Danio rerio: one gene and its partners. The protein of the gene in region 3 purifies or fractionates together with the protein of the main gene of each other region. This does not show direct contact. Links are inferred from orthologs where the notes say so. Each region holds a gene or a part of one and is shown on either strand. Other genes may lie near its edges. The genes, in order: pabpc4, lsm12a and atxn2.

What was found.
Region 1: the proteins of atxn2 (region 3) and pabpc4 purify together in Homo sapiens (affinity purification with mass spectrometry; 4 studies listed by BioGRID and IntAct, with this or other methods). This does not show direct contact. The link is inferred for Danio rerio from reciprocal best matches to the Homo sapiens genes ATXN2 and PABPC4.
Region 2: the proteins of atxn2 (region 3) and lsm12a purify together in Homo sapiens (affinity purification with mass spectrometry; 4 studies listed by BioGRID and IntAct, with this or other methods). This does not show direct contact. The link is inferred for Danio rerio from reciprocal best matches to the Homo sapiens genes ATXN2 and LSM12.

The regions. Positions count from the first base shown.
Region 1 is NC_133192.1:26,716,298-26,720,054, forward strand, and holds the start of pabpc4 (polyadenylate-binding protein 4), read right to left. Parts: upstream 2,817-3,757; 5' UTR 2,635-2,816; coding exon 2,439-2,634; intron 1-2,438.
Region 2 is NC_133178.1:21,729,717-21,733,473, reverse strand, and holds the start of lsm12a (protein LSM12 homolog B), read right to left. Parts: upstream 2,505-3,757; 5' UTR 2,497-2,504; coding exon 2,370-2,496; intron 1-2,369. UniProt on the Homo sapiens protein: Nicotinic acid adenine dinucleotide phosphate (NAADP) binding protein. Confers NAADP sensitivity to the two pore channel complex (TPCs) by acting as TPC accessory protein necessary for NAADP-evoked Ca(2+) release.
Region 3 is NC_133180.1:42,592,029-42,595,785, forward strand, and holds the start of atxn2 (ataxin-2), read right to left. Parts: upstream 2,538-3,757; 5' UTR 2,150-2,537; coding exon 2,031-2,149; intron 154-2,030; coding exon 120-153; intron 1-119. UniProt on the Homo sapiens protein: Involved in EGFR trafficking, acting as negative regulator of endocytic EGFR internalization at the plasma membrane.

The DNA of each region.
Region 1 (3,757 bases), on a different chromosome or scaffold from region 3:
TTTTAATGCAGCGTCTATGGGACAGGATGGCTAATTATTTGTTGTGTATTCTCTCCTCTGGCTGCCATCATCAGTCTCACACTACTTTTTTCCATTTTCTGAAAGTCTTGATAACACCATCGTGGAGTTTTTCTTTTAATTGAGCAAATAAGATTGTAAAAAAAAAAGATTTGTTTTATTCTCCCATTCACTGCGCTCAAAATTGTTCCACCTATGATGGCTTCCGCTACTAAGAAACCTGAAAATGTGAAAAGGGTCAATCTTCCATAGTAAGAAAAAACACTATAGAACTCAATGGCTACCGGTTACCAACATTCTTCAAAATAGCTTCTTTTGTCTTTACCATAAGAAGTAAACTCAAGCAGAGGGTCAGTAAATGATGACAGAATTGGTGAAATATGCCACTTGTATAACACTTATTCTTGTCTCATTTGAACTTTTAGATTGTGAAATAAAGATTCTTCACAATGGTATTCGCCCACATTTTGCAACCTGACTTGACCTATTTGTGCTATTTAAAGTGTCAGGAGGGGATAACACACACGCATACACACAAACACCATTCCCCTGGATATACCTAGTGTTCTTAAGAGAGCTCAAATATGGAAAGATCCTAATGATCAGCTTCCCTTTCTGTGTAAAATGCCTCATACCATAAGGGTTAAGGTAGATTTAGGGCACTTCCACTATGTGGGTCACATTCAACTCTAATCTAATCCTTTATTCTGCTTACAGGCAATAATTGAGACTGCTCACTTCTATAGAGTGATAAGCTTTAAATAAACCTTTAGTAATTGTATCATCATTTTTTCAGGCAAAATGTGAACAGAATGTGTAAATGGCTTTCTACACATAGATGTTTTTCATGATTGGACAAGACTAAGCAAGCTCACTGTCCTCCACTGGGTATAAATGGTCCGCATGGTATAAATGATTCATATGTACATGCCATCCTTCATAACCTTTGTATTATTAATTATTACTTCCAGACAACAGGAATGATACAGGCTTTATTTGCATAGCAAGTTTGATTAATATTTGTTCATTTTAGCATATTTCAATGGCGCTTTTCTAAAATACACATTGTTAGTCCCATTCAAATCCCAGAGGCAGCAAGCCAAGAGTGATTATGGGAATAAAAACTTCAGATGCTGAAATTAGTCTACTTGTAATTACTAGAAGGCTACTGATAGTAAAACTGGAATACATTTGGCAGACATTTCACCAAAAAACTTAATTGCATTCCAATATCATTATCAGTTGATTGATATTTATTAGTCCAATTATTCCTTGGAAACCAAACCTATATGATATGGCATTATTACCTGCATCCTCTACAAACTATTTATTGAAGATAGTCATAAGTACTGCTTAAAAGTAATTAAGATGTAATTAATAGTAGCCTACCTCAGCAGATACTTTTACCCTAAGCAACTTAAATTTATTGTGGCATTACTGTACACACTTTGCACTTTTCACCAATTCATTAATTCCCTGGAAATCGAACCTATGACCTTTGTGTTGCTATCTAAAGTTTAAACTACAAGATTGAGGAGAGTCATAATGAAAGTCTTAATTACAGTCATAACCTTGATAACAAAAGTTTAACGTTAGTGAAAGTTTTAAGTTTAAGTTAGTGAAACACTAAGAAAACAACTAATGCGAAATTACAGTAACAGAGAAATACTTTCAAATTTGTTGTTTTCTTATTATATAATAGAAATAAAAAGTAAAATTCTTGTAAATGCAGGTACCAAATAGCCTAGTGACTACTGTATAGATCATAAACTAAAGTATGTACCCTTATGGAGGTTTAAACTGCAATGGGTATCTACCAACATTTGGAATATAGGCCTACTGTTATAATCACATAACAAATTTAGATCTACTGATCCCCAAAGATCAAAATGGCAATATTGTATACTAACAGCAATGGAATTAGTTATCAAATGCTATTTGAAATAGTGTGAATAGTAGTATATAAATAATTAGTCTAATACAATCAGGTACTATTTTTTGAAAAGAGAAATATAGTGTTAACATAATAATTTTAATACCAGGCGAATAACGTAACAGAATAGTAGGCTATTTAAAGGGCTAAATGTTAAAGCAGCTTGCCATAATAGCTGGGCATAATGCGGTGTGACAGTCACAGTCAGTAAACCCTGACTTTCACACAATGAGCTTTATTAGGGGATAAACCTAGGCAATATATTAGGGCATGTTTAAGGATGTTAAGGAAGAGACGAGTGAAGATCAACATGATGTGGGCAATTCAGAAACACATGTGACAGCACACAGGACAGGAGGAGACAGCGCGCGCGCACTACACATCACCTCCAGTGTCCCTTACAGTAAAACACAAAGCATGACAGAATATTCCCGTTATTCGACAGCCATAGGGATCCTGTTTAAGGGTGCTGTGTGTAGTGTCTTACCGTCCGCAGGCTGCTGGAAGTTGACGTAGGCATAGCCCAGCGAGCGCCGCGTGATCATATCCCGACACACGCGGATGGAGAGCACCGGGCCGGCCGGACTGAATTTCTCATACAGCATCGCCTCCGTGATATCGGGGTGCAGGTCGCCCACATAAAGAGAAGCCATCGGATAACTCCCCGCGGTCGCTGCGTTCATGTCTCGGGGTCGATCAAGCCTCTGAGCCCGTGTGTTTGTCTAGTGCTGAAATGACAGTGCGTAAAGAGTGTCCGAGAACCAGTGGGACAAATGAGTCTCTTAATCCTCTATTAAACTTTTACGCTTCTCCCCGAATAAACGATTTCGGCAGCAGTGACAGCTACAGCATATGAGTCCGGTCGGAGGAACTGGCAGAAAACCACTGGGTAGATCGAGACCTCGTCTTTTAAAAAACAAAAAAAGTTTTTTCTTTAAAAAACGTTGTTTGGTTTGTAGTTATTTTTTGAGATTTTCGTTATTTTGTATTTTTTATATGTTTTTTTTTCTTTTTTTAAAGGTACTGAAGAACAGTGAGTTATACACTCACGGTGTGGTGGCCGGGGAAAGAGGGTGCGTGGGAAACGCACGAGCACTTTATAGCTCGAGCGGAGGAAATAGGAGCAGGGTCACAGTCGGGATAACAGAAAAAACACGAGCCCCGAGCATGCGGTGTACAGCACAGTTAACTTTGATAAAAGTCGTCCTGACAGAACTAATAAATAAACAAAAACATCTGTGCATACAAAAAATCATACAATATGTGAATGATAGTGAAAGCATTGCAGTTGAAGCTGGACGGTCAACTGAACCTTATCATGGCAAATATTCAGATTGCTTTCACACTACACATAAAATATAGAATTGTTTAAATAATTGCCTATTTAAAGAGGGATCAACCATTCTAAATAGTAAATACTGTTATTTTAACAATAAAAAAAAAAAAAAGTTCAGAAGAGTTCATTATGCACACAGGTCTTGGAAATTAAAACATTATAGTACAAAATTTAATTATAAAGCACATTTAAAAACATCCAATGTGCTGTACATAAGAGTACTAAAGGCAGTGAAGAAAGAATATAAAAGAAACAAAAAAAAAAAAAAGCAATAAAACAATAATCAAGAAGTATTAAAAGCTTAAAAAAAAAATAATAAAAAATGATAGGTCTTTAAAACATGACTTAAACAAAAATGGAGGGGGAAAAAAAAAAAAAGTCTAATGTGAATTGGTAGAGTGTTCCAGACTTTAGGACCAGCAAAATATGCTTGATCATGTAGTTTAAGGCGTGTCCTAGGCACGGTGAGT
Region 2 (3,757 bases), on a different chromosome or scaffold from region 3:
GCATATTACAGAGGAAAGATATCCAAACTTGGGCCAGCGGGACAAATTTGGTGTATGGTAACCTTTGATTTAGGCCGCCAATCAATACAAAAAAAATTGATGGACAACTGAGGGCCTAATCGCACTATGCTATCCGAACACTTGGCCGGCACTGGCCCAGTTGGAAGAGGTGGGCCTGAGCATGGTTAACTTGGGCTTTGGCGCGGTACGTTTGTGAGTGCAAAATGCGCCAAAGCCCAAAACTGAAAGCAAGACGTGACTTTAAGGGACTGTTTCATGGATTTTTTAATCAATCTTACTGTTCAATGAACACAAACTGCCATAGTTTATTAAATACACAGACACCTCAATGCACGACAGCTGAGCACCTTCAGCACACCTCCTCATTCCTGCAGCACGAGGACTTCATGACTGTTGGCAGATCTGTTCGGCGAAATATCTGACTGCGTGTCACCGCATCCCTAAGGAGAGTTTGGCGAAATATTTGACTGCATAACACTGCATATCATACTACTTAAACAATATAACTAGAGAAATCTCCACTGTGCTGAGCGAGAGCGCTCACTGAACAGCGCAGCAGCAATGATGTAAGCGTGCCCAGGCCCGGATGTATGTGAGTGCGGGCCGTCGGGGGAGACGAGAGGGGGGACAAGCGTGCTTTGGCCCGGTTCGAGGCAACTGTACATAGTGTGAGTACGGCCTGATGCAGAAGGTTGGGACGAATCCCTCAAACAGAGAAACCATTTGTTTGTCTGTTTAATTGCTGAGCTGCAAAGAGTGTGTTTACATGTTAAACGAATAAAATAGAAGCTTGTCCTTACTGATTCTGGAAAGCTCCACATATACAGATGTCAGTCTGGTCAAAACTATTCAGTTAATAGAGACTTGTGAAGATGGTTAATCATCACTTGTGTAAACCAATAAAATACATGACTAGGCCAACCATCTGAAAGAGTAATCTCACAATACAATATTAAATATAATGCTTATATTATACGTATATTTATATAAGATTTTCTCCCTATATAAGTTAGTACAAACGACTAAATTAAATAGTATGACATGAAGTGACTTAATGTAAATGAATGGCTGCACATTAGCAGGTTAGCAAGAAAACCACTCGTCATGACCAAAACCATAATAAAAATAGAGAATGATGCATGTAAAACGCAAACTAGAATGCCTAATTGTGATGTGCACATTACACATACTACTGCACGTCAGGCAGAGAGACGTTAGCGTTCAAGGCAAGCTAGCTGACGCCCCCTGAGCACGCATGCGTAGAAGCGTGCGGGGAAAAGCAGCAATGTGTGCTTGACAGCCTGTCCACTCTCATTCACCTCCATTAGTGACTAAGACTGATGCTGGAAATAAACGCGCCAAACCCTCCTGTTTAGGAGACAAGCACCATAGGTTTCTAAATAGGGCTAGATTTAATAATTTTGCAGACATTTCTGGATTTACATGCCTTATTTCCACAGCTGTTTAATATCATTGTATGTTCGTTAATGAATCAGGCAAACGATTCGTGGACCCGGTCGACTGAGTCAAGTTGAGCATCTTTTATGTAAACGAATCATTCTAGTTCACCTCAGTGCACAATCTCGTTGTCTTTCCAACAAAATAATATGTCAAACAGTAAGTTTAATGTATTGCATGTGTTAATGTGGGAAGCTTTAGGGACTCGCAAACATGATAGACGACTATGTGACATTAAAATGACAATTACACTAATATAAGAGCAAGTGGCATACGTACTATGAAATATAAATAATACTTATACACACTCTGCTACCACCAATGACAACAGAATCTACAGAAACGACAAGGGAGTTGATTCAAAAGATTCGACTCATTTGAATGAATCAAAAACCCCGCAGCAAAAATAATGTCAATTCCATGTGGTCTCTGTGAGCGTTAAAACCGCACAATTTATACACACGAGCTAAACCGACCAGCAATCAAACAATCTATAAAACATCTAAGTTAGGAAATATTCATTACAGCATTCTTGTCAGACATTTTCGAGTGTTTTCTGAACATGAGGACCCAGTAGAACTACACAAAAGCTCTTACACGACGTCTAAAACACAACATTGCTGAAAAACATCAAAGTAAATCTACATTTCCTATCGCCCGAGTCCAAATGTGTGCTAATATTTGCAGGCCATCAACTAAAAGCCATAGTTATAAACGTGGCAACCAATCGCAGATCCAAAAGAGCACCACCTGACTCGACATGCGCGAAACACGGAAGCGAATGCCTGGTGGACTCACTTCACCCCGCAGCAAACCTCTTTGACAAACCAGGCCTCTAACAGTTGTGAATCCCGACGATTCAATGACAAGCCGCGACGACAAAAGGATACTCAACGTCAGCATCTTGGACGGGTAGTCGAAAGCGACGACCTCTCCTTGCAAGCGCTGCCCCAGGCAGGTGAGGCAGGAGACGTGGCTCCCGACGCTGAAATACTCTCCTGGTCCAGGAGCCGCCATCTTCTCCGCCAGGAAACGGAGCAGTCGCTGCACGTAAACACGCGCAGCCGCGTCAGCACGGGATGGGAGCGCGAGTGGGTGGGCGTGGCGTGTGAATGAATGAAGTGACGCAAAAAAAACCCGCCGCAAGCGAGGTCACGCCCACTTTACTATGGAGTAGTGGATCGTGAATATATTTACTACAGCACTCATTCATCCGCGCCTCCTGCTTTATTCGGACGAGTATTTTGAAATGATATGGGAGACAGCGGTTATCTTCTGGCACCTGAATGAGGTGTTTTTTTCTCTTTCAGAAAAAGTCTGTTTAAAATGACTGAAATTTGAAACAGTGGGGAAAACCTGCTATCATAGCCATTTGTTATGCCTTTTTGTCTAAATCAGAAAAATATTTATTTGCATCACTTACAGTAAAATACAGTAATTATTTGCTGTTTATATTATGTATTTAGAATAAAATATTATTGTCATATTTTTATAAAAAAAATATTTGAACAAAAAATGTCAAATAATAGCGATAATAGTTTTTATTTAAAAAGTTTAGATATTTTTAAAACACTTGTTCATTTATTTTATTTATTTTCTTTGAGATTATATATATATATATATATATATATATATATATATATATATATATATATATATATATATATATATATATAGCCTTTAGGTTTGCTATTTTGTTTTAACATTTAGTGTTATGCAGAAAAAAACGTGCCACATGCATCATTAAATACATTAAAAGGTTATCTCAAACATTTTTATATGAAAAAAAAAAAAAAAAAAAAATATATATATATATATATATATATATATATATATATATATATATAGTTGAAATCATACTTATTAGCCCCCTTAGAGTTTTTTTTTTTTTTTTTTAATATTTCCCACATGATGTTTAACAGAGCAAGGAAATTTTCACAGAATGTCTGATAATATATTTTTTTTCTGGAGAAAGTCTTATTTGTTTTATTTTGGCTAGAATAAAAGCAGTTTTTAATCTTTTAAAAAACATGTTAAGGTGAAAATTATTAGCCCCTTTAAGCTATATTTTTTTGATATTCTACAGAACAAATCATCATTATACAACAACTTGCCTAATTACCCTAACCTGCCTAGCTAACCTAATTAACATAAGCAAACATTTAAATGTCATTTTGAGCTGTATAGAAGAGTCTTGAAAAATGTCTAGTCAAATATTATTTGCTGTCATCATGGCAAAGATAAAATTAATCAGTTATTAGAGATGAGTTATTAAAAC
Region 3 (3,757 bases):
TGTACTCAATTAAGCTGAGCACTGTATATATGATTCAACAGGGAATATAAATTTGTATGCGAATCAATTTAATAAATTTACACTATGAATAAATGAAAAAAAGAAAAGCCGAAACTCACTGCAGTAGAGGGTCCTTTGGCATTGTTGCGTCCTCTGTTGGGAGGAGAGAAAACAGCATGACTGAGAAGTTTTATAACAGTTGAACTATAACCATATGCATACACAGAAAATCTTTGACATGCTGTACACACGGTTTAAAGAGCAAAAAAAGTCACACACTCCTACGAACACAAATTCAAGTGATTCCAGTAGGGTTATCGATTGCACATGTACTGGCAAACACTCAAAGCTGTAATGACAAAGGAGTGACAAATAATCATATGCTTCATGCAATTCATTGTGCAAAGAAGCACTTATGTAGTTCCCAAACAACAGACTCTAAAAAGAAAATCTGCATTTTACTGACAGTACGTGACTCATATCCACTAACAGCCATATACCTCAAACATATGACAGATTCTGAATTGTAAAGCTTTCAATGTGTTGGACAAAATTTCAACAAGATCTCTAATGTGCAGCAAAATAAGTTCAGTGCTCAAAGATTAGGCAAAAACTATCAGCATCTAGTACATTAAAATACATTAGTAAGATAAAAGCTGTGAATGACAATTATTTTTCAACAGCCAGGCTGCAAATCAAGTGCTGCATTACAGGCAGTGAAAGGCTCCACTGCACCACTCAAGATTCCCACAATCTTGTACAAGTCATATCACTCTTGTTGTTTTGCGTAAACAATAATCACATTTTCCCCATGCAGTGTGCAACTATGTGATGCCAATTCTCAGCTGTTAGATTAAAAGTTTCCACTGTTAATTTCTTCATTCATGACAGCTCAACACAAACCACGACAATAACATTCGTCTGTCACACCTCTACACAACATACTTACTCAAACGTCATTATGCAAGGACAGACTTATGCATGCAACCTCTTGTAAACGTCAAGGTTGAGAGTGCAGCTCTCTGACTTTCCACTCTACTAAGCGCTTGTCCTCGTGAGCGCGCGCGCCGCCCCTCATCGGAAATGCACGCGACTGACAGATAGTTCCAACATGAAGGATCAATCGAAAAGTAACGGGAAACACGCAGATTCGACCTAGTGGCCCTCAGCTAACGGAATTCAAGAAATCTAAATCGGACGCTGAGTTAATGTCATTGTCAATAGTCAAACAGAGAGCTAACATGTGACATCTCATAATGGATGATGAATTCCCAAAACATCGATTCAGGGGCACCTCAGAAGAGGTTACAAATCAGCTGACGGGAAGATAAAAGCATAAAACTAGGTAACGTTATCTGTAGCAAACAACCCTTTTTTGTTTGGACTGACACAAATCAGAAGCAATTGGTAAAACGTTGTAGAAAAACTATGATCTCTCGATTACATAATGACCAAAAACCTGAATGATGTTAATCTACAAAACATACTTTAAATCCTGTTAAATTAGACAGATTTCTGACAGTATGAGCAGATAAATGTTTGCTACAGTAGTTAGCAGGCTAACACTTGCTTCTATACCCACTGTAACGTTATGACTCTCAGATTATTTCTTTGTAAGTGACTAAAATGTCAAACACGTTCAATCCTATAACAGATTCCGACACGATACAAAAGCATCTGTCCTGGGAAAAGCTGGCACAGCCATATCCCACCGGCAAAGACGCACAATTCATCCTGAACGTGACCAGCACCCACAGCAGACAACCCGCCCCTCTCGAAATATACACGAACATGTTGTCCGCTATCAGCTGTTATTTTATAACCGCAGTAGTTTGCGTCCATTAACCTGTGAATCCCTGTCCTGTGAACTTGGCCTATATCGGCCTACTTGCGCTCTATCCTGATCACTGCAACTCCACAACCTGCGTTTTTAAACTACGACACTAGTGCAGGCATGCCGCATTCCCGTGTTGGTTCACGCTCGTCGGTCCATCCGAATTAAAAGCCTGTTATGCAGATTGGTCACCCACCTGCCCATGTTCTGGCGTCCGACGCCTCCTCCTGCTCCCCCGGTACCGGAGGCCGCAGCGGCTCCGCTGTTGCTTCCGCCGGGTTTGCGATTACCACCGGCCTGCGGCTTCATGGACATGATGATCCCATAAACGACAGCTTGAGCAGAGTTGTCTGACTGTTTGGAAAAAAAACGTTTGATGCCGCGGACGAGAGCGGAAAATGCTATTTGACGTGTTAGCTGACAGTTGATCTAGTGACAGCCAACGTGTAAAACTGCTCCTCCAGTTACTCGAGTCTCCACTGACGCTGCCTGCTACTTCAGCTAGCTCTGCTGATTAATTCCTCCTAAACAGAGACAATTCAGCCCGTTTTAAAAGCAAAGCGCGGACGACCCATATGTTTTAGATGTCTACAAAAATACCAACCCGGTAATTTCGCTATTTTGTTATTTTTAGTGCGGTATTTTCAGTGATATACACAGTTCACGCGGGGCTTCAGCACTGACCGATAGACCTAAACAGTCTGAAAAGCCACAAAAAGTGGCGGAAGGATATATACACATCCCAGGAATGTGTGTACTCCTATTGATGGTTTTATTGGTTCCAGAAGAAATGATCGTCAATAGTTATTGTAAATATTCTAAGAACGTAATACACTATTCAGATAATATTAGAAATGGATGAATGTTAGATTTGAGGAATGATGCGCATATGTCGAGCGCACTATTTTCAGAAGATGCACTGATCACTTTGTGCGTGTGTGCTTTGGCGCTAGACCAGGTGACTGGTGGTGAAATATATACAGTTAAATTCTTCAAGCTCTATTTGGCCTAGTTGTTCTGATTAGTTTTATTTCTTCGAGTTTAATATTTAAAACAGTAATCTAATTAATATACACTATTTTACTCTCTGCTTTGAGATTTTAAGCAATTATTAAATAAAGCGTTATCCTCATGTAACCCTTGATCTAAATATGGTCAACTAAACAATGTTTTTCCATTGACTCATTTTCCTCTTTGTGTATGTTTTAGTTTTTTTTTTTTTTGTGATTTAAAATATGTAATTAACTTGAAATTACATGAATAGTTCATCCAAAAATAAAAATTTACTCAAAATTCACTCGCCCTCATTTGGTTTCAAACCTTCAGGAAAAGAAGATATTTTGAAGAAAGCTAAAAATCTGTAACGATTAACTTCAATAGTGGAAAAAGAAAATAGAAGTCAATGGTTTTAACCTGAATGCACAAATACTCATAAACTTGTCATATGTGGACCTAAATAATTTAGATAAGAAAAAAAAAGGAAAAATGCCTATAAATCTTACACAATAAAGTTGATAATGTAAAAATGTAGATTCTTTGTACAGGTCTGTAGCCAGGGTGCTTCGGGTGGTTCGAAAGAAAACTGTAAATAACGTACAGTTTAAATGCACATGGTAAAATAGTATAGTGAACATTTCTGACAAAATTAAAGGAAATATTTTTGTTCCATCAAAGATTGTGGTTTTGATGACCATCCGAAAAGCTAATCCAACAAAGATTAGTGCTTGAAAATGTCACTTAAAATGCCATATTTGAACCTTATAATTTATTAGAAATTAAATAACTGTAAAAAGGTCCACAGAACCACCATTTCAATAGTCTGCTTAAGGGCCTGTTGTTCTGTGAATTGGTTTAACGAAATACTTTTATTTAACAAAAGTACATTAATGCTGTTTTTTTTCAACTCATTAAAGACAACTAAAT